Linked DNA regions of Oreochromis niloticus. The protein of the gene in region 2 binds, or shares a complex with, the protein of the main gene of each other region. Links are inferred from orthologs where the notes say so. Each region holds a gene or a part of one and is shown on either strand. Other genes may lie near its edges.

Region 1 (11,313 bases), on a different chromosome or scaffold from region 2:
ATTATTTTGTTTTTCCTAACTTTCCTTTTATATCATAATATTAGTTGGCCTGGTCTTCAGCCATGGCTAAAGATTCAATTTCATTTCCAGGACAACAAAGATTATTATGAATCTCTCTGACATGTTTTCATTATTAGATATTGTTTAACTGAGAATGCTACCAGTTTATCTACAAACTGCAGAGGAAATGCAACGCCCTTGCAAAACATTTCCATAAAGGTAAATACAGAAAACCACAATCCGTTACCATGTCTCTCCCACTTGTTTGTAATGCCGCACACTTATTAAATAGAGCCATGGCTTTACTTTCAAAGCAATTTTAAGTATTTAGTGGAGACTCATGTAAACTACTGCTTTATCATTTTTCCTCTTCAGAAGAACAAAGATCTTATATTTGATGCCTTATGTTTGTTGTGAGTCAGGGTGTTTCACTCATTCATTCATTGTTTTTTTTTACTGTTTCCTAAACAGAGAGTGAGCTGTCAAAGCAAGGACAACATATTAGAAAGATGATGGATGAAGGGAAGAACCAGGATTTCCAAACATGCAGCAATTCTGAATGTCATGGGCATTTTTTTCATAGTAGCACAATTAAACCAAAACTCTAGCTGTCAGTTCACCACAAGAAGCAAAGCGAAGTTTAATTTTTAATATAGAATGAGTAACTACATTACAAGCCCATAATAGCATCCTTTCTACTAATACTGGGCAACACCATTAGGCACATTTAACAGTCAAACTCCATATACACCATTCTACAGTGAAGGTTGAACAATATGTTAAACACATTTTTGAGCTGTGGCTCGATTTAAATGACTTTCTGCAGGATTCCCTGATAGATGCGAGCATGATGGGCCCCTTGTTTACAACAGTTCACAGCTACACAAGCATATGAGGCTTTATTCTTTTCAGTCTTTGACCTAGACAAAAACTGAAAACAGGCTCACGCAACTACTGTATGAATGTGTGCACTTCCTGAGGCCTCTGGCATTCACTCACACTTCCATAGAAACTTCTGCTCCATTGAGCAACTGATGCGAACACATTTGGCTGCTGCCTTTTCTATCATGACGTTATCTGGTGGCTCTGTTGTATGCTGTTTTTCACTGAGGTTTCTTTGCTGTAAATATGCATCATTATTTATAAACTTACCGGTGACAATTCCATAGTTGGGAGCCTCGACAATCGCACCGTAAAACTGGATGATGTTGCGGTGGCTGAGGACACTGAGGATTTCAGCCTGACCAGTGAACACAGACACAAGAAGATAAGACCATTTGGAATTTTCATGAGAATAGAAGAGAAAATAGAAGCCTTATTTGCATTAGAGTTTAAATAAATGAAGTCTGGATCTATAATTTAGTACACACATGATGTCAGTGTGTGTGAAGTAATATTTTCTTTTTAAATCACCTTTACCAAAGGTTAATTTAAGTCTCAGGAAATGACAACATTCACACTCTATTCAGCATGTACATACTTAGCAGAATTGCACATACCGTGCATGCACTGAGTACACTTTCCTTATAGCAGATTTACTATGCTACAGATAACTACACTCCTTTAAGAACAAGCTATTTGATTACTATACCTCATGATGAAATACCTTGCAGAACCAACTTTCAGAGCAATAGCTTAAAATAATCACTTTCTGTATGACTTCATCAGTCTTTCATATCACCACACTTCTCGACAAGTCTGCTGTTGAGGTTTGGACTTTGACTTGGACATTGCAACACCTTCATTCTTTCCTTTGCTGTTGTCCTGTTGCATGGCCCAACTTTATTGACGTTTGACTCTAGAATACTTTGGTATTCAGAGAAGTTCAAGATCAACTCAGTGACTTCAAGGTGCTCATTTTCTGTAGCTGCAAACCAAACCTAGAAAATCACCCCTCCCACTACCATGCATGACAGTTGGTATGAGGTGTTCATGCTGATATACGTATGTAACCTTACCAAAACATCTTCTCTGTCAAAAATAGTCCCAGAAGTCTTGCGGTTTGTTCAGATACAACCGTACAAGCCTAAGCTGTGCTACCATGTTCTTTTTAGGCAAAAGAAGGTTTCTCCGGACGATCCTTCCAAAAAGCCATACTTGTTCAGATTTTTTCGAATTATGCTTTCACGAACTTTGAGATTTAACATGCTAACTGTAACTGTAACTGTAAGTCTGAAATGCAGCTCTTGGGTTTTTTGCTTTTTGTCAGAGCATTGCATGATCTGACTTCGGGGTAATTTCACTGGGACATCTGGTCCTGGAAAGATTGTGGCATATCACTGAATGCCCCGAACAAGCAAACTGTGAAAACTTCTAACTTTATAGAGTTGATCATACTTCCTGATGATTATTTTGTTAAGTGCATTTGAAAAACAGCACCTGGCTGCTGTTTACCTCTTAATTCCTATGGAATTAATGCTTTGTTATTCAAAGGACTGCACAGAGTCCTGTGAGAACTTTCTTTTTCACATGACTGTTATTAGCAGCAAGCCAAGTAACCCAAAGTATGAAAGTTAAAATTATGACCTGATAACTGCATAGAATACTTCCTCAAATTGATTATAAAAGCTCCACCACCCTGACCTAGACATGAGTGCTTGTATAAGATCTACTGCAATCCATTTAGAACCCAGTTAACTTAAAGTGGATCATTGAAGGAGTCGCCATTTGTGAATTCACAAAAAAGAATTTAATAAAAAGCAGAAATGAGAACTTGCTGGTTATCCTGATGCCCCAACGGGAAAATTCAAAGCAGACTTTGACTTTTTCAGACTTTTACAGAACTCAGTGGCATGGATCTCACACCCTGACTGGACGCCAATGAGTTTTTCTCAAAGATTCTTCGTCCTATGGAGTCTTCTGGAGCGTATACAAAGACGTATCAATGCATAATCGTGGCCCAGAAAGGTTAATGTGTAACCTTTTTTTTTTTTTTTTTGAATGAACAGAAACCTGATAAAACGATCTAATTTAATCGTAACCAAACACTATAATTAAAGGAACATGTGGTTCAATGTGCAAGGATTACATTATTATTCCCATTGAACAATCATCTCCCCAACACTTGAGTGAAGTTGAATGGATATCTGTGATCTTTTACAATTTCATAAAAGAAACAATGAACAATTTTCTGAACATCGGATCACAGGCCGACACACATAATACGATTTCCCTGAAAAGATTTCAAAGATAATTCTGTTTTGTCTTTAAGACAATGGGCCTGTGCTTTCAAAGAGACTTCAGGAGCAGCCTTTGCTGTAATTGGGCCAAATACATTCTTTCATTTGGCAATAATGTTTCTTTCGCAGCACACTGCTCAGAGAGGGGGAGTATAATGACCATGAGTGATGGGTACAGAAGTCACCAGATCTTGCTAAATGGGATAGCAATTAAAATGATTACTATGCTGACAATTAAAAATATATGAAAAAAAAAAAGATCCAGGTAATTAAGAGTCTTACCTCATTTTCAATCTTGAGCAGTTTTTTCACCGCCACCTCTTTGTCCTGGGAAATCCACTTGGCCCGGTACACACTTCCGAAGCTGCCGCCACCACAGTTTTCGAAGAAGTGGATGTCATCAAACTTGACTTGCACGAAAGACAAGCTGGGAGACATCATCTCATAATGGCACTCAGTTCCAAGTCAGCTCCTAAAAGAGCGAGGGGGATTACAGGAAATGAAGGAAGTCGGGTTCACAACAAAATCCTCTGTGTAAAACAAACTTAATCCATCAAAGCGAAGCTTCACTGTGAGACACCATTTGTGAGTGTGGCTGCAGGTTTGAGGCTGCTTTGCCATTGGTTGATTGAGCATAGCAGGGTGATATCGCTCATTTTAAACTACCATCCCCTGTCTCTTCCTCTTTTACACATACAGTCCTCTTCATCAGTACCAGTAAGCAATGGGCTCAGGGTCCAGACTCTGCTTGTATAAGGACAAAGGCATGTCTGGTATGCTGGGATCATGCAGCTAAAGTCGCAGATTACTCCAGCAGGTTTGGTTCAAGTAGGACAACAAGCTGGGAGATCATACAATTGTGACAATAAAAGCTGCTTTTGTTTCAAGACAAAAACACCTTGAGAGATCCACATATTCTCTTTCTCTATTTAACAAAAAAAAAAGCGCTCTTCTTGCTTGTGTTGAGGCCAAACATGATGATGTGTGTGTAAGCCAGGGTTAGTGGTATAATGCTTCCAAACTGGACACCACACAGATTTATTATCATATCCTTTTGTTTGTCTGTAGCGACATAAAAGCATCTTGTAAAGAAATAATTCCATCATTACAGGAAATTATAGCATTGCTATTGTTCATAGGTTTCCCATTTACAGCTGAGCAATTATGGCTTTTAAAAGGCTGTTACCTGGGTCCTCATTGGGATTACTATCCATCACAACGGGAAATGCCACCATTGTCACAGAGGGGAGCCATTGCTCTCTGCTGATTTACTTGTATTCATGCTATACTTAGCCTGGCAGCAATTTGCTCAGTGGACCAGCCCCCCAAGTATTGTCTGACCACTCAAGAAGCCAGGGTTACAGGGATACGGGAGTACTCCTGCAGTCATTGCTGCCAGGTTCTCCCTTAATAGCAAACACGACTGCAAGCGCCGCAACAATAAGGCCTGACAGCCATATGTCAAACCACAGGTAGTCACTGTAATCTCAACTAAATGATGAATTAATCACTGAGACAGCGAGGTCAGCTTTTGTGTCACATCTTCACAGCTAAAAGTGTGGTTATGTGCAGATGTTACAATCTTAACCAATCTAACCCCTACTCGGTTACTATGCTGTGTATGAGATGCAGATAATACCTGTGTGAGGGTTAAATCACCGCTCAAAACATTCAACAACAACTAGATACAGTATGAGCAAAATTATGAGTAAAGTTAAAGCGGTATTACTTTGTTATTGTTACATGTTTATAGCAGTCTTATATTAATGCAACACGCCACACTCAACAGCCTGCATCAACACATCTGCACGAATCTGTGTTTAATATCAAACAAGACTGGTATTATATTTAATCTGCTGGACAGTGAGCCTATGTCGAAACTGCTCATTGAGACTAATTGGATAACTGGTGAACATTATCGAAACACACATACCGACATTCAGTGTGAAGGCTGGCACTCCGGAGCGGCTCTTCCTCCACGCAGGCAGCACCGGGCACAAGACAAACTTTGTGAAAGAAAGGATAGTTCCGGGAAATCTCACGTGACGTCGCTTGATTTCCCCGATCCAGTGTGGTTTCACTGGTTGCACAACTTTCAGCCTGCTGAACTGGACAGAATCCAGCTGGTGATACTGATGGCAACAGCTCCCCCTGCTGGACACACGCACGAAAGCCTACATGGTGCGTGGTTATTTCTTTTTCATTAACAAGCTCTTACTGGGCAGCTCAGCGGTACACTAAAAACAAAGTAGTTTTAATTAATTTGATTCTGTAAAAAAAATGTTTAAAAATGTATTTTAAAACTGTAATTACTTTTTTAATTCTGTAAAATGTAAATGAAAAATAATGTGATGATCTGAAGTTTCAGAAACTCATATTTTATGCACAATAGAATAACAGAAATCATATAAAATGTTTCTAATTAGAATATTACAATTTTCAGGTAAAAATAAGGCCATTTTTAGGCAGCAACACATTTCAAAAAGGTTTGGACAGGGTCGTGCTTACTAATGCACAGTATGTCCTCTTCGTATAACAATAGCCTATGAACTTAGATGAGTGACGAAACCTTTCTCCCATTGAAAACACTACATCCAGATGATCAGAATCAACCTTTTGGGATTTACTTACCTGGATGATTGAGCATGCATCAAGACAATAGCCTATGAACATCTGAAAAGAGCGATCAGCTGGACTTTTATGAGAGAATGTCCCGTCCTTGCCTTATATAAGATTCTAGCTGCTTAATTGTTCTGGGTCTTCTTTGTCGTGCTTTTCATGTCATCATATGCCAAATGTTTAGAGTTGTAGAAAGGTCTGGTAGGCCAGTTCAGCAACCACACTCTTCTAATATGAAGCCATGCTGTTGTAATAAAAGTGTGTAGTTTAGCATTGTCTCACTGAAATATGGAAGGCTTTCCCTGAAAAAGACATTATCTGGATGAGACCACTCTAAACGCTCTAAAAGGCGTTGACAGTCCAAATCCAATCTCAGAAATGTCTTTGTCAACACCTTGTCAGGTATACACAATTAGCAATTAAACCCAGGCTACACCCAAAGACTTCTGCATTGCCACTGTCAAGAAAGTTAAGGGTTGATGAGGTGTGTGACTTCTAACAGCAACCAGGTTCTGAAATGAAACCTCCTGGTCAGCCTAGGTGGGGCCTTTTTTAATGGGGTTGTCCCTTTGGTTGGGTGGGGTATCTCTGGATGCATCAGTTTCCACCCACAGTCCAAAGACATACATGTTAGGTTAACTGTACAAGAGTGTGTGGTAGCCCTGTGATCGACTGGCAACCTGTCTGTTGCGTAAGATGCCATTTGTGCCATGACAGCTGGGATAAACGGTTAAGAAAATGCATGGATGTTTGTTTTTTAGCTGAGATTCATTCCACTGGGTGATAGTTTAGAAGCATGGCGACAGAAAATTGAGATTTGTCAACTTTCTCCTGATTTTTTGTTTAAGTGGGTTTTTTTGAGGGGTTTGGTTGTTATTATAGGTGAAGACGACTGATAGAAGGCAAAAAGGTGAGCGCAGTGCAAAGCTGTGACTCAGAAATCTGGAAAGTGGAAATTTGCTAGAAATTTGGGGACATTTGTATCCGTGAAGCCCACGAGGTACATTCTACAATTGTTAATATGTGATCTATGCATAATGTTATCTTGGATTAGCTGCAGCATGCAGTTGTTCATCACAGATGTTCTCAGATGTATTTGTAAATGTGCAAAAGCTTAGATCAGTGTGCAGTGTTAAATCTTTTCATTGGATTGTTAGATTTTTTTTTCTCTTTTGGTGATGGCGACATAATAAATTGATATATTCAGATATGCAACAAGATCCTTGACTTGAAATCGAAAAGTCATTCTGTGGATTTCTCTCTATTAAAGACCTATACTCATGTCCCAATCCATCAAAAAACATAATTGCTGTAAGACCTTCATCATTTCAGCAACTCAGGAAGCTTGGTGGGAAATCAATAAGATCACCAACGACTCATTTAATCCATGTAAACTCACGACAATGTGGATTTCTTAATCAATAAGACCACGTAAAGCAAAGGAATCATTCAAATGTACTGTACCATCTATATGAACTAATATAGAAATATATCACTCAAAAACCCTTCAACAGCATTTTTCAGCTTAATAAAGCATTTAAGAATATTGTACAATTTATATAAAACAATTTTTCATTCACTTCAATTTACTTTTGACTCCACAAGAACTAATGTTGCAGGACACCCCCAAGGCCTGGAGTTCGACACCCCTGCTTTAGGAGGAAGAATATGAGTACTTCTTCAATCTCCACTGTGACGTCAGAAACACTGTGAGATATCAGATTCACTGATTCTCTTTTCATCGCATATTAAATCTAGGCAATACATTTCTGCAAACTTAAAAGCTGTCAGTGACTCATTCTTTCCTCATGTAGTGGCGAATGGAAAATATAAAGCAACCATCTGCTTCACTGTTGACACAATTCACAGGTCAACAGTATAAGTCAACAATAAAAATGTTTAATGCACTTCTAGAAATGAATGGAAGTGATGATGATTAATGTTTGATCAGACACGCCAAATCACTCAAAGCTAAACCTGAGATAAGAATTAATTTACATTTAATTCCTTCTTGCTGCCCCAAATATTTTCAGCGTAAACTTTCAGAAGAAATCCTTTATGAAACCAGCTTAACTAAACAAATCTACACTAGAGGTTCAGCAGCACTAATAAACTGCTATTTCTTAAAGCAGAACCTGATTTACAAGATAGAAAGCAGTCTGCCACTCCTCATTTCTTTATATTTTTGTTTTATTTCTTTATACCATTGAAATTAGCTTGAAAGTCACTCTCTGGTATGACCACCTTTATTCTTCAACACAGCCTGAGCTCTCTTAGGTAAACATCTTGTAATTTCTTTAGGTAGTCTTTGGGAATATGGACACTTCTTGACGCCCATTCAAAGCTCTTCTTTGGCTGACTTTTGTTCTGTTCTCCATGTTGCTTCAGTGATGTTGAGGTTCAGGGTCTGGGGAGGCCAATCCATGAGTGATAATACTCCGTTGTTTTGTTATCCGTGTCTCTTTTGGATCTTGTTTTGTTTTTTTACTGCATAGGCCTTTTGGGATGATTGTCATGCTGAAAAATGAAGCCAATCAGAAGTGTCCAGATGGTATTGCATGGTGGATCAAACTCTGATGGTACATTTGTGTTCATATTTCCATTATTTTTGACAAGAGGTCCAACACCACTGGCTGAAATGAAGCTAGAAATTATTGCAGCGCTTCCACCATGTTTTACAAATGGCTGCAGACACTCACAGCACGCACCACTCTCCTGACCTCCTCCATAGTTGGATTCATTACTCCATAAGACTTGTTGCCACAGATTTTTTTCAGTACGATTCTTCTGTAATTTGGCATACTCAGCCTTTTCTCCATGTTTCACTTTCTTAAGAATGACTCCTTGACAGCCACCTTTCCACTGAGATCATTTCTAATGAGGCTTTAATGAGCAGCCATAGTTCTCCAGGCATGTTGATGGAACAGCTGAAGAGCCAGATGCATGTCTCAGGTCCTGTCAGGTCTTTTTTCTTTTTTTCCCCTTGTTTCTTAAGGTCATGACTTTCAAATACTATAGATAGTTTGTGGGTCTCCCACTTCTTTAGTCCTAATCCATTTTCCTCAATATTTTTTTACATAGCATGTCAAGATAAGTTTTTAGCTAACAGCTGTTTGAGAATCACCTCGTTGGTGCAAAAACACAATTTTGTTTTTCAGACTGTGCTATGTTTATTATTTTTGTAGGTCCAACAGATTGATTTGGGAACAAGTTTTGTGGCAGGCTGCTAGTAACAAAGTTCCTAAAGATACAACTTAAAAATTGTTCGTTGCTTATTTGTCTGTTATGTAGATACAACGGTGATTCATCCCTTGACTTATGCTTGAATGAGTTTTATGCTTAAATGATTCATAGGCTAGTGTCAAGTAGAGGTGGCAAAATTACAGACATTCGTACTTAAGTAGAAGTACAGACATTTTTGTTAAAAAAAATACTAGTTAAAAGTATTGATTTCACTTCTTTACTCAAGTAAAAGTGGAAAAAGTACTGGCTTTGAAATGTATTCTAAGTAAGGATGTAAAAAGTAGCTTTTTAGAGGACATTTCTATCAGCTACTTTTGTGCAAAGCGAACAGAACGTTGTGCTATATTAATAGAATAAAATTATATTAATGCATGGGAATCCAAATTTTATTTCACTCTAAATTTTACTTCTAATGAATTGAATCACTTATGTAGAACATGAGCGGAGAAAAAGAAGGAGAATCTTTAAAAAATAGTTGCCTACATTGTAGAGGGTGACTTTGCTTCCACATCGAAACAGGAAAATGAGTACAGTCGGGATGATAATCGGGATGAAAATAATCACAGCTCACAGTCTTTTCTATTGTGTGTTCCAGTAGATTTTCATAATGTACATACTGTGATCAGCTGACCTGTTCTGCTGCTGTTGCTGCTGCTGCTGCTCTGAGGTTTAGTGCTCTAATTCAATAAGATGTAAGCAAATGTTTCATGAGTTGTCTTGGTTGATTTCCATCTTATACACTGACAGTATACTGTTCAAACTGTCTTTATAAAGTAATAAATATAAAGTTGAACAAATACATCTAAAAGTTTTTATTATTTAGAGCGCACAAAAAGGTTTTCAGACACTTATGATATCTCAGGCTTTAAAGAGAAATGTGCTCACATGAATAAAAAGTAAAACAATCATAATCCTCTGCATGCTTGTCAAAATAAATATCTGTATACAATTTACAACACAAGAGTCTTAAAAACTTAAATATGTATAAATATTGTCTGATACAAAATATACGAAACAACTGAATATCAGGAATATTGAGACCTGTAAGCGTCAGCATCATATAGCGTTTACATCTAAAATCTTACACAGTTTGTTGTGATATCTGCACGACAATGATACGAGGAGGTACGTCACCTGCCAACAATTACTGCTAAAATATCACAAATTACTGTAAGAAAAAGCTTAACAAGGCAGGCTTCTGAAACAATATCTCATTTTCTGATACAACATCGGGTCCTCAATCCTGTACTAAGTAAACTCATCCCAAGCGAGCGCACATCACGTCATGGAGTAGCGTCTTCGTGTAATGTTTCTGTCCCTGAGTGGATTTCAAGACCTGCGGGGCTCAAGTCCATGAGAGAGCTGAGTAAGCATCCTTTGGTTATCGATCACGTTAAGCTGACGAATATAAGTCCAGACGTCAGGGTGGTTCTTGCTTGGCAGTGGTGACTCTGGACCTGATTTCATTGAAAAGATGGGCAGTGTCAGGAAAAAAATGCAAGAAAAATTTGTAAGTTCATCATATAGCAAAATCAGGCAGGAACCTAAAATATTTGTGCTTTTTTTAAAAAAATATTTCTGCTGATTGAGTTCATCTAAGCTGTATGGGCAATCAATATGAAGGGATTAATGGGAAACAGCTGGATAAATGATCAAATATAGATGTTAAAGGTTCAGAGATACCAATATTATACTCCAATTAAACTTCAAAAGATCAATATCACAGCTTGCTGTCAGTCAGTCAAAATGGATACTTTTCTCAACTCATTGTGAGAATATTATTTTTTATTTTGGAAATAAGAAATTAAAATTATGGGAAGCTAGTTGCATTGTCAGAATTTCTCCCAATGTGCTTTCTTGGAGCATGGCCTCTTCTATTAGCTCTATTCCAGCTTACAGGTTTATTCTAAGATGTATCTAATAGACATCAAATTAACAGGACATAAAGTCTTTTATTGTTGTTTCTTCATCATACAGTTTTTTGATATTGTGCTTCCAAGATATATTTTGTTTATTTATTTTTTTATGTTTAATTTTATCAAGTGTCCTTTTGTTGTACAGTGGTCCCTCGTTTATCGCGGGAGTTACGTTCCAAAAATAACCCGCGATAGGTGAAATCTGCCAAGTAACTTTATTTTTTACAATTATTATAGATGTTTTAAGGCTGTAAAACCCCTGACTACACACTTTATACACTTTTCTCAGACAGGCATGAACATTTTCACACTTTTCTCTGTTGTTTAAACAATCTCAAAGTTCAAACCTTCTTGGA
Region 2 (10,691 bases):
GTTATGGTATAAAGCAATGCCACACCACTTCCACCTATAAAAACCCAATAAAGAGGTGTATGTATTTTGCAACCTTGAAAAAACACTGATCCAAATAAAAGAAAAAACCCTATTACACACATTTTAAATCTCAAATATAAGTAGAAACTATTCCTGTAATAAATAAAATACATTTTCTTGCAAAGTACAGTCTTTTGCCAGTGCAATACAAATCAGAAGATCAGTCTTGATTCCAGTTGCTTCATTTCTTCTGCATCCTCCAAACTGAGATCATTGTTTCTTAACCTATAATATAAGAAGAGACAGTAGTAGTAGTAAATAAATGAACAGGAGACATGGGAACAAAAACAAAGAAAAAGAATAGTCTAGCTTACACCAAACTGATGCATTTTTTTTTAGCATTTTTCTTGGCACTGAAACTGACAAACAACTTGTCTGGATGCAAACAGTCCAAAAGTGCCTGCTCTAAAGAATGTAGGAAACTTTGTATTCATGAGTGTCAGGCTTGGTGAGCATTACATACCATACTGATGTCACATGTGTATTGTGTTTAAGGGCTTGAATCAGACATTCCACCCCCGTTCTGGTTATGCAGTTTTCTGTCAACCTTTAACAGGAAATAAGAGGGTGGAGCATTTTAAGCACTGCTGTGCAAGCAGTGGTTACCATCAAACCAGCCAGCTATTGGTAATTTGCATACAACTTGCATACAACTTGTGTCTAACACTTACCAAAGTTCCTGCAGTGATGTGCTCTTCCTGATGAGATTAGCGAGGGCACATGCTCCTGCACTCCCTACACCATTGCCTACCAGGCTGTAAGCAAAATGTGCTGACATGCGCTTTCAAAAACAACAGATAAAACATCCTAACATATCATGTAAATAACACTTTCATGGTTTTCATAATGTGAAAGTCAAGCAAACATGTTCCAGAATTATTGCAAATCTTACCTTAGCCACACCAGAGAGTTGCTTCTCTCAAGACTACTAGCAAGGGCCTCAGTTCCTGCATCACCTATCCTATTGCCCCATAACCTGGAAATGCAAAGAAATACTGTAAATGAAAATTCATCAACAATGAAACATGAAATTTTATGGGAAACACTTACCCTAAGTACGCCAAGGTTTGATTGGCTTTCAGTCCCTCTGCCAGCTGCTTTGCTCCTTCTGCTGTTATGTTATTGTTGCCTAGCCTTGAAGAGAAGAAGGTTATTTGTTAATCTTTTGGTCATTGGTAAAATCCAACAGTAGAGTCACATTTGATGACAAACGCTGACCTTAAAGAAATGAAGACCTGCTTGGTCTTCAATAAATAAGAAAAATCCTGCATGCAAGCATCAGTTAATTTGTTGTTGAAGAGCCTGGAAAGAAACAAAAAGATTTTGAAAATTAACTGATAAAATTTTATTTAACTTGCAGTATTAATCACCTTGATAATACATACGCAATTTTCTGAAAGCTGTCACACTGGATGACTTTAGCAATCAGTTTGCGGATGCCCTCATCTGTAATGTTGTTATTTCTGAGGCTAAGGAAGGAACAATATGCATTTCAGAATAAAAGTTGTTCCTCTCTTACAGTGAAAGCAGTTAGGGAGAGTTTGTTCACTCTAATGAATTGGCGTTCAATCTATTAACCAAGGAAATTTAACAAAAGAAAAATGTATAATTTCCACTTACTAAAGGGAATTGCAAATGTGCATGCAGGGAAGAAGCTGTTCCACTCCAACATCACCCACAGAGTTGTTGTCCAGCTGGAGGCCTACAGGATTTCTTAAGTGCTGGAGCACATAAGCAAGCGCCGTGCACTCTACAGGTCCGATATTACAGTATGTCAATTTCAAATGGTCCACCTCCAGCTTGCTCATAGCATCTTTAGCTATCCGACTCTCCTGCATCTCATAGAGGCATTTTATAAGCCACACAAAGTCCGGCATTGCATGCATGCTCTTCTTTTCCCCTTGTACAGGTTGGGGAATGGACCTAAAGTGTTTCTGAATGCCTTTGGAAAGGCATCTTGCCACCTGTCTGGCCTTTTTCTCCACTGCAGCACTGGGGCAGCAGTGGAGCCACAGATTTTGATGGCGCTGGGACAATAGTCCAGACACAAACATGGCTGTGATTTGCAGATTTGGTGTCTCTGCTGCTTTACTTTCCTTCTCTGAAGCTTGCTGTTGTTGATCACTGGAAGGCAAGCAGGCTGTAAAGCAGACACGTGTCAGACCTGTCTCCCTGTTCTCTAGCTCAAAGAGTTTTGGGATAACTGAACGGTTAGTGTTACTTGACAAAACAATGAAGAGAGCAGCAAAGAAACATTGCAATGTCACATGACTGAATTCATAGCATTTGGAGTGAGTAGAGGACATATCTTTGCTTTTTATCAGAAAAACCATGCAGATATCCTTTTCAGTTACACCGCATGCTTCTAGGTCTGTACCTGAAAAAATATAACAGGTGGATGTTATCCCCTCAAAAGCAAGCTGTCCAAGAAGAAGGACTGTTTTTAGGTGCTCCTGTAGCCAGCCTAAACCCATGGTGCTCTTCAGAGGACTTTGGTGCTGGAGAAAGTGCTGTAAGATCATCAGGTAAACATCTGTAATTGTTTTGGGGCTGCCTTCTCCACAGCCCAGCAGCTCCTTATGGCACTGTGAAACTATCCAGCAGAGAACTGGACTGTGACATAGTCCAAGTAAAGCTGTGTTCGCCTGCATTGACTCTAAAACCTTAGCAGCTACAGTAGGGTCCCTGTGATGTTTCCGTACAAAACTGTCAATCCCAGTTGGGGAAAACCCTTTCAGGACAACCTCTTTGCGTAGGTGCTTCTTTAACAATGGGCTCACTGCTTCTGAACGGCTAGTGACCACTTTCTGCACCCCCTTCATGAGGGAACCCTGGATTAAGTTGAACAATAATACATGAACAGGTGCACGCTGGGTGGGGCAGCAAACTCTGTGCTCATCTGTAAAGCTCTGCTTGAGCTCATCCAGGCCATCAAAAGTGAACAGGATTTGATGTGGGTGGTCCAAGATGAACTGGAAAATTTCTTCTTGGTTCCGGTCTGGCCAGCAGCAGTGCTGAAACAACAACTCCTGGACTGACAGTTCATTGTGCTCTGAATTCAACCTGCGACAGCTGAATGGAAATAGAAGGAGAAAGTCTTGAAGGGCTACCCCTCGAGCCCAAAGCAAGTGCAGCCTCTGGAGAAGGGTGCTTTTTCCACTGCCTGCCTCCCCGGATACTAGCACTGTGTCTGCCTCCTCATTCACTATACCCACCAAACCAACGATGTCTTCCAATCCCAAAGGTCCATGGGCATTAACTTCGGCTAGTTCCAGCTGGCCATCAGTGTAAATGTCATCGAGAGACATATGGCTAGTTCCCGCATAAGTACTGAGAAAGCAGGCTTGAGCAGACACAGAACTGCTCAGCTTCTTCTGGTACTTTAAAAACTCTGTGAAAGAAAAATTTGTGAAGAAAAGATGGAATGAGTGAACCAGTCATCATTTCATACATCCTGTATATCTTTGGTCAAATCTGGAACATGCATAACTGATCTTGGCATGCCTGCCAATTTTGTATTTTCAAAGCATAACCAGAAACCTTCTGTATTTGGGGCATTTTTCCTATGAGGGTGATCAAGGATAGCTTTACTCATAAAAACGATATATATTTCTGCGATTTTAAACATTGCTTTTGACAGTAACAGACCTTTGGGAGGAGTCAGTTCCCTCTGGTTAAGTGGCAATCCAGGTTCTTGTTTTTGATGAATGTACTGCAGGAGAACCGATGCTGCTAAATCACCTCTGGATCTGACATGGTCAAGCAGACGCCTTGCCTGATTGATCACATGGACATGGATGAAAATAATAAAAAGTTTATTTTTGACAGTTATTTGGATTGTTGCGGAGTTAGATAAAAGACCAACTTACATATTCATAATCTAATAATGCAACAGCAGAAAGAGCTTTACCTTGCTTAGCTTAGCACAAAGACAGGCAGCAAGTGGTAAAAACCTTGCCTGGATCTATACAAAGGCAGCAAGATATGTTTACCAGTTTTCTTTGTATTATTTTATATTACTTGTATAATTACTCAGGAATATCAGAATAGTATCAGATCTATTTAAAGTAATAGTATTGACTGATAAAGTAACACAAAAAGTAACAAAAATACCCCAGCACGTCTGCCTGTATGACATCTAAGTATCAGGAATGCAGAAATAATGACAAGCTTCATTCCAAGACAGTTTAAAGGTAAAGAACAACTGTATAAAGTTGTCAAACCACATTTTAACAATGTGACGTTCAGGTGCTTACAGTACCTGTTGGGTGGGAGTATATATAGGTAACCGCACTTCATCACAATCAGCTGAAGAAAAGTGACCTGAATCCAGCAGAGCTGCTAGAACACCATCAACACAGCCCTGAAGCTTGTGGACAAGGCTTGGTCGTTGAGCCAGAAGAGTTTGATTAGAAGTGCTCTGACATTCATCGTTTTCTTGTAGATTTGAGCAGGATTCAGAGAAGGAGAGCCCCACTGCCTGTGCTTCAGGCAAGGCCAGTTTGAGAGCAGCTAGAAAGAGCCCACATGTGTCCACACCCTTTGTATAGACCAGATCAAGCAGCTGTCTTGCATTGGTATATAGTGTTCTTCCTGGTACCTGTATGTTCTGGTAGTCCTCCCATATGAGCGCCCCCTTGGCAAGCAGTATATCCAGAACTCTCTCCAGATGTTCTGCTGACCCACTGCTGCACAGTGCATGCAGTATCTTCGTCCTTTGTTTAAGCACTAGTTCCTCGGCAAGCATTCTTTGTCCATATCAGTGCCCATGCTCAGGGACATTCAGTTTGTGGTTACTTCTGCTTCTTGTGGTGTGAAAACCTGTCACAGCAAATGGCCAAATGTCATCATGTTACTATGGGCCAACTAGAGCTTCCTTCTTTCTTTTCTAACTCTGTTTTGAATACCATACAGCAGTACATGTCATTTTGTGCGTCTTTCTGTTAAGCCATAACAAAAAGTTAAAACAGAATGAAAAGAATATATGGCTACCATTACATACACATCAAATGTGTTGCAGGTCCCTTTAAAACATGTACAAGTACAGAATAGTCGACTACGCGACCTCAATTGCAGACGCAAGTAACACAAAATAAAACCACAAAAAAGAACACTTACATTTAATGGGAACATGGCTTTCTTTCCTCCCTCTGTCATACGAACAGAGCCGCTGTAGAATTATAGGGTCCTACCGCTTCCCTGTTCTGCAGCTGAAAGTGAAACTTGCTCTGCTTCCAAGTCCCTCCCATAATATGGAAACTAAATACAGGCGGAGATGTGGCATAGACGCAATGCTCAACTTCCCTGGTGTTTTCCAAACAGAGCAAACAATGGTGACTTGATATTTAAGGGTGGTTAAATATAGCTTGCCACACTCAAGCGCTTATATTTCACTGAGACTTCCACATCCTCTTGTCTTGTTTGCAAGATACTGCATACTTCAGACCACAAAGAGGAACTGCAGCTTTTAAAAATGCAGAAGGTTGAATAGAAAGGGTAATTTTGGGTGGGTTTTTTTTCTTTCTTTTTTTAAAGAAAGTGACGGAAACTTTTACGGGTCCTAGGTATTTCCATCCTCGTCGCAGTTTGGTGTTGTAACCACTTGATGGAACTATTGCATAAGAAAACAACATGGTGTCGGCAGAGATTTTCCACTTTTAACAGTTTCTTTTAGTATCACTAAAGCTGTCTTCTTCGAATCAATTCAATCAGAGCTCTAACTGTGTCTGTGGGCACAAGATACTGCGGTTTAATTAGAAATCAAGCAGAAAACCCCAGCAGATTCATAAAGAGGTTGTAGGGAATCATTTTGCTACGGTATCAGTTTTACAATGTTAGAACAGAAACTGAGAACCTGCAGTCTAGGCGTCATGCTGTGCATCTGATCTAAACTTCAAAAAAACCCAACCCTAAAACCGCACATAATGCTCCTTACTCCCTCTGCATTCTTTGAAGCTGAGATAAAATAGGTGCGAGAGTGGCTTTTCGGGCAGTCATATATTTATCATTTTCATTATTACAGCTCCCTCCTGAGTAACATGATTAGCTTATTGTGTGTGTTCGCTGTGCCCTGTTCGAGAAAATCCTCAAACACTCAAGGGCAGGAGTAATCAAAGACAAACTGGAGTAAAACTTTCAAACGGGAGTTTCTCTTCTTCTTTTTCTTGTTCTTCTTGTCTGAAAACAGGCAACTCCACCAAGGGGAGTGTAATGCAGAGTGCTCTCTGTCAGGCATCTTACTTGAAGCTTTAAGGTGGAGTTCTGTTATCCAAATCACAGCAGGGGGTCGAGAGAAGTTTCAACACATAAGAAAAAGGGTAAAAAAAATGTCGAAAATAAAAAAATAAAATACACACACGGTCCCAAAAGACATAGCTGTATTTCTGTGCTCTGTTTGGAGACAGTTCCAAACACTTTTTTTATTGCAGGAAAAATATGTAACTCCACTTCATTTGTTTGGGCTATATAATATTCTTCATTATTATTATTATTTTTATATTATTAGGAACAGTTTTGTTGCTCAATCACTTTAAAGACAACTCTATATATATAAAAAAAAATCTCCTTGGGCAGTCTTTATCCTTCGAGCACAGGTCCTCTACCAGAGGCCTGGGAGCTTGATGGTCCTGCGCAGTATCATAGCTGTTCCTGGGACTGCGCTCTTCTGGACAGAGATGTTGTTCCTGGGATCTGCTGGAGCCACTCACCTAGCTTGGTGGTCATGCCACCAAATGCTGGGATTGCCACTAAGACTACTGTTGCCTTCATCCTCCACATCTTCTTGAGTTCTTCTCTTAGCACTTGGTACTTCTTCAGCTTCACATGTTCTTTCTTCCTGATGTCGCTATCATTCAGTATAGCTACATCTATCACTCTGGCTGTCTTCCTCTGTATGTGTGTGTGTGTGTGTTTGTGTATGTTATTTATTTATTTATTTTTCATGACAAGCCTGAAATCGCAAATTACATCAAATTACCCTTGAACCACAGGATCTAATCCCTATCTTGGACTTTATTGGACATGAATGTTAAGTCTTGATCCACCCAGCACTAAATAACCTCATCCAGTAAATCAGCTTTAAACTGTATGTCTATGAGTAAGAGTGCAGCTCAGGGCTGGATCCTTCTCACTCTCGTAACAGAGATGGAATACTTTGGCTGCAGCCATTTTATCACTGTGCATTCTTTCTGTGCAGATATCAAAAGCACATGTTGTGAGCTCAGTGTTAAGCCAGGTGCACTGATGGGCTGTTTGTGTACTGATTGCTTTACCAGAGATTCAGAACTCCCAGAAGCAAGCCGTCATGTCTCATTTTAGTGTAGTCTTACAGTTACACAAAGTGTGCTTGTTTTTAGAACATATGTAGTGAACTTTGAAAGAACTATATTGCAAAAAAAAAATAACATAACATGATATGACAAAATCAAACAGTCAAATAATCAGAAGCTGTAATTGATCACTGTCAGGGAAATTCGGTACAATGACACCACAAACATGAGCACACCGATTTGCATTATTGTTAAAAACTACATGTATTGACTTAAATTCAATCAGCTAACAGTTTATGTGTTTGTATCAGATAGTGCTTCCTTAGCAGGTTAGTAAAATTATAGTGGCACTTTGTCAAAAAGACTTTGAAAAACAGTCATATCTCTTTTATAATTAAAATTTGAATAGTTGTTTCAGAGATCAGTTCCCATAACTCCTAAGCATAATAGGAAACATAAATAAGATGGAATATTAGAGATGTTTTAATAAAAATACAGAGAACTCCAAACCAGTGATGCAAAAAAAAGCATTCTTCCCAGTATGCTTGTTTACACAAGCAGTAAAACCTTTATTTTAACAGGTTGCAAACTAAAAAAACAAGGCAGCCATATTATCTGTGGTATTGCAGGTTAAAAAGCTGAGTGTATGGTATATTGACATGCTGTAATATTGCTTTCCACTGAGAGAATGGCTGAGTGAATTACCTCATTCAGTTTATAAAGTTAAAGTTGGAGGACAACTACTGCAGCATGCATGGATATAAGACAAAAAATGCCTTTTATATTGGAAGGATTTATGTATAATTAGAAATAGCCTCTTCAAGCCAGAAAGACAAGTATTCAGCAGAGGAAGTGGATGGCGTCGCTTTCAGAGCTGACTGGTTAAAAGGAGCATGTGTCCATGATGATGTGTGTATGGGTGTGTGTGTCAATCAGGATTTAATTGACAGGAAGATTAAAGCTCACATCTGAGAGCTCCCTTTTTGCAGGAGCAGCCAAGTTGAAGGAGTCTGGTCTCCGGCATCTGCCCGAGGTTTAGGGTGCTGCGCTCAAGGTTAGCGCAAGCACCCTGCTGAGTGTGCGCTGTCTGAGATGGGTCCTACTTGTTGGACATTCATTATCAAACTCTGTTTGCGCCTTTCATCTGCAGCTCTCTGCAGCACTCAACGTAAACTACAGAGGCACCTTGCAGCTTGACACCTCTCCATTCAGTCTGTACCTTAAACAGCATGCTGCCACATCAAAGAGCTGCGTCTGCCTTTGATGTTGCAAAAAGAAAGAGCTCCAATGATCTACTAAAAACCAATGCAACTTTCTGGAGCCTTGTTTTATTCATTTGCTATCTCGAGAAGTCTGGAGTCAGCCTCTGGAAGTCCAGACAGCAGATTTGGACTTTGAAAAAGTTGGACAGTGCAATTTGCAGAATGTACTGAAAAGGAACACGCTGCTGCCTTTTATGTTGTTGTGGCGGGGTTTATATCTTATGGTGAGCTATTTAATTCATAAGTTAAAGCTGATAAAGACTGAGTTTGGATATAAATGTATGTAAAATGGCCAAACTTTGCTCTCTGCGTTATTACATCAGTTCATGCAGTGAAACTGCAAAGATCAGGCTACATATCCATATCCTGGATCCTCTTCCTAAATTAAACCTCTCATGCATACTATAGATTCCTGTAGATGCAAAACAATCTATTTTAGCTTTTCAAAAATGGACTCACTGTATAGCCTCACAATCTCTTTTACCTTGCAAAGGAAAAATAAAGGATGTATTGTTCTTTACTTACCATTCATTTGACCAAGTTTTAAAAAAACATAGGGATCAGAATATACAAGACATAATTAAACTGTGATCCTTGTTTGTTGATGTTTTATTTTTTTTTATACCCAATACTAAATAACATAATAGTAACTTAATAAACAGATTGTGTTTGCTTAAAATGCTCACATTGTTCTGGAGGTATGATATATAAGAAGTGGAAAATATTGGACTAGTGGAAAAATAACTTTCAGTCCTATATACGAGCCACCACAGCACCAGAGCTAAACAAAGTCATTGCCATCTTAGTAATTATAGGGTGAATTAAATCCTTCTAATTATGATTTCATCAGCTATAACAAAGGAATTGTCCAAAATGAAAAGTGGCATTTAATGAAAATGAGTTCTGGGTCAGTCACACTGAACTTTAACACTTTGTCAGCTTGTTTCCTAATTGAATGAACTTGACAATAATTGAAGTGTTTTATTTTTGCCCTTCTTTAGACACATAAAAGACTGCCATGCCAATTAGCTTTAATTCTCTATTTCCCCTTTTTCTTTTCATGCTCTTGAGGAGGCTGGGACCGGCATATTCCGATCATTTGCATTATCCAAAGCAAATCTGCTTTGAAGTTCTGAGATTCTGTAAGAAAAAGGATCCACTTATCCCACATGAAAAAATGTTCAAAGCTCATAAATTCACTGGAACAGATGTACATTATCATTGGATTTGCCTTTTCCCCCCTCTTTGCTCCTTTATTGGTAATAGACTACCTCATGTCCTTCTCATCCTTTAGCGTTTAGCATCTTCCCTTTACAGAAGCTAGCACCCTGCTGTGCCAATCCACACTTCAAAGCTTTTTGCCTATCTGCTGGAAACAAAGCACAGAGGACATATTATGGCAGCCTCTCATTTCCCCATATTTAAGTCAATATCATTGCGTCTTGCCAGTGGTATCACAGAGACGGGGTTTATTTCTATCCAAAAAGACCATTCCTTGTAACCCATGTCTCCCAACAACTCAAATATAACACAGTACACATTCACAGCAGCTGTTTATCCTATTATAGTCCCAGCTAATGTGGATTTTTTTTCCATGACAATCACCAGACTCTTCATAGCCTTAAATATGGAATAACCACACACATGGTTATTATCTCAGTAATGACATTAAACTAAACATAAAAAATAATCAAGGTTTAGAAAAGTCACTGTGTCACTATTAGGAAGTATACTCTACTGTGCTGAGCTCCTCACCTTTAATTACACTAAGCAACTGTCACTTTGAATAATATCCTCTTAGCCAACAGCACACTTAAATACCTCTATGATGTGCAGTGCTGAGAGAGTGCAGCTCTTTATTTTCTTCTGTAAGCTGCTTTTCTTGGTAATTGTTAACTGTAATTGCTGTTAGTAGAGTGTATGTATAACTGACACTGTGCCACATGCTCAGACTTTCTATATATGGTGTAAACCAGAAGCTGACCTTCCATCCATCAGTACCTCTACATCACTTGCACGTATTTATATCGACTATTTATATTAACTGGACTTTAAACTCATATCAGCACACGAGTTTGCACAGCATATGGCAAGTCAGATC

What was found. Proteins that work in one complex are often made in the same cells at the same time.
Region 1: nod2 (region 2) and map3k20a share a complex: the UniProt entries of both Homo sapiens proteins name them as parts of the signaling complex. The link is inferred for Oreochromis niloticus from reciprocal best matches to the Homo sapiens genes NOD2 and MAP3K20.

Annotation. Positions count from the first base shown.
Region 1 is NC_031987.2:16,485,578-16,496,890, reverse strand, and holds the start of map3k20a (mitogen-activated protein kinase kinase kinase 20), read right to left. Parts: upstream 5,350-11,313; 5' UTR 5,113-5,349; intron 3,652-5,112; 5' UTR 3,621-3,651; coding exon 3,462-3,620; intron 1,241-3,461; coding exon 1,153-1,240; intron 1-1,152. Other genes in the region: rapgef4a (rap guanine nucleotide exchange factor 4), read right to left, coding at 10,371-10,498. UniProt on the Homo sapiens protein: Stress-activated component of a protein kinase signal transduction cascade that promotes programmed cell death in response to various stress, such as ribosomal stress, osmotic shock and ionizing radiation.
Region 2 is NC_031965.2:31,482,264-31,492,954, forward strand, and holds the start of nod2 (nucleotide-binding oligomerization domain-containing protein 2), read right to left. Parts: upstream 5,438-10,691; 5' UTR 5,179-5,437; intron 4,882-5,178; 5' UTR 4,808-4,881; coding exon 4,322-4,807; intron 3,836-4,321; coding exon 3,709-3,835; intron 3,452-3,708; coding exon 1,681-3,451; intron 1,530-1,680; coding exon 1,446-1,529; intron 1,363-1,445; coding exon 1,279-1,362; intron 1,195-1,278; coding exon 1,111-1,194; intron 1,037-1,110; coding exon 953-1,036; intron 842-952; exon of another isoform or gene 816-841; coding exon 732-815; intron 608-731; coding exon 524-607; intron 286-523; coding exon 213-285; 3' UTR 1-212. UniProt on the Homo sapiens protein: Pattern recognition receptor (PRR) that detects bacterial peptidoglycan fragments and other danger signals and plays an important role in gastrointestinal immunity.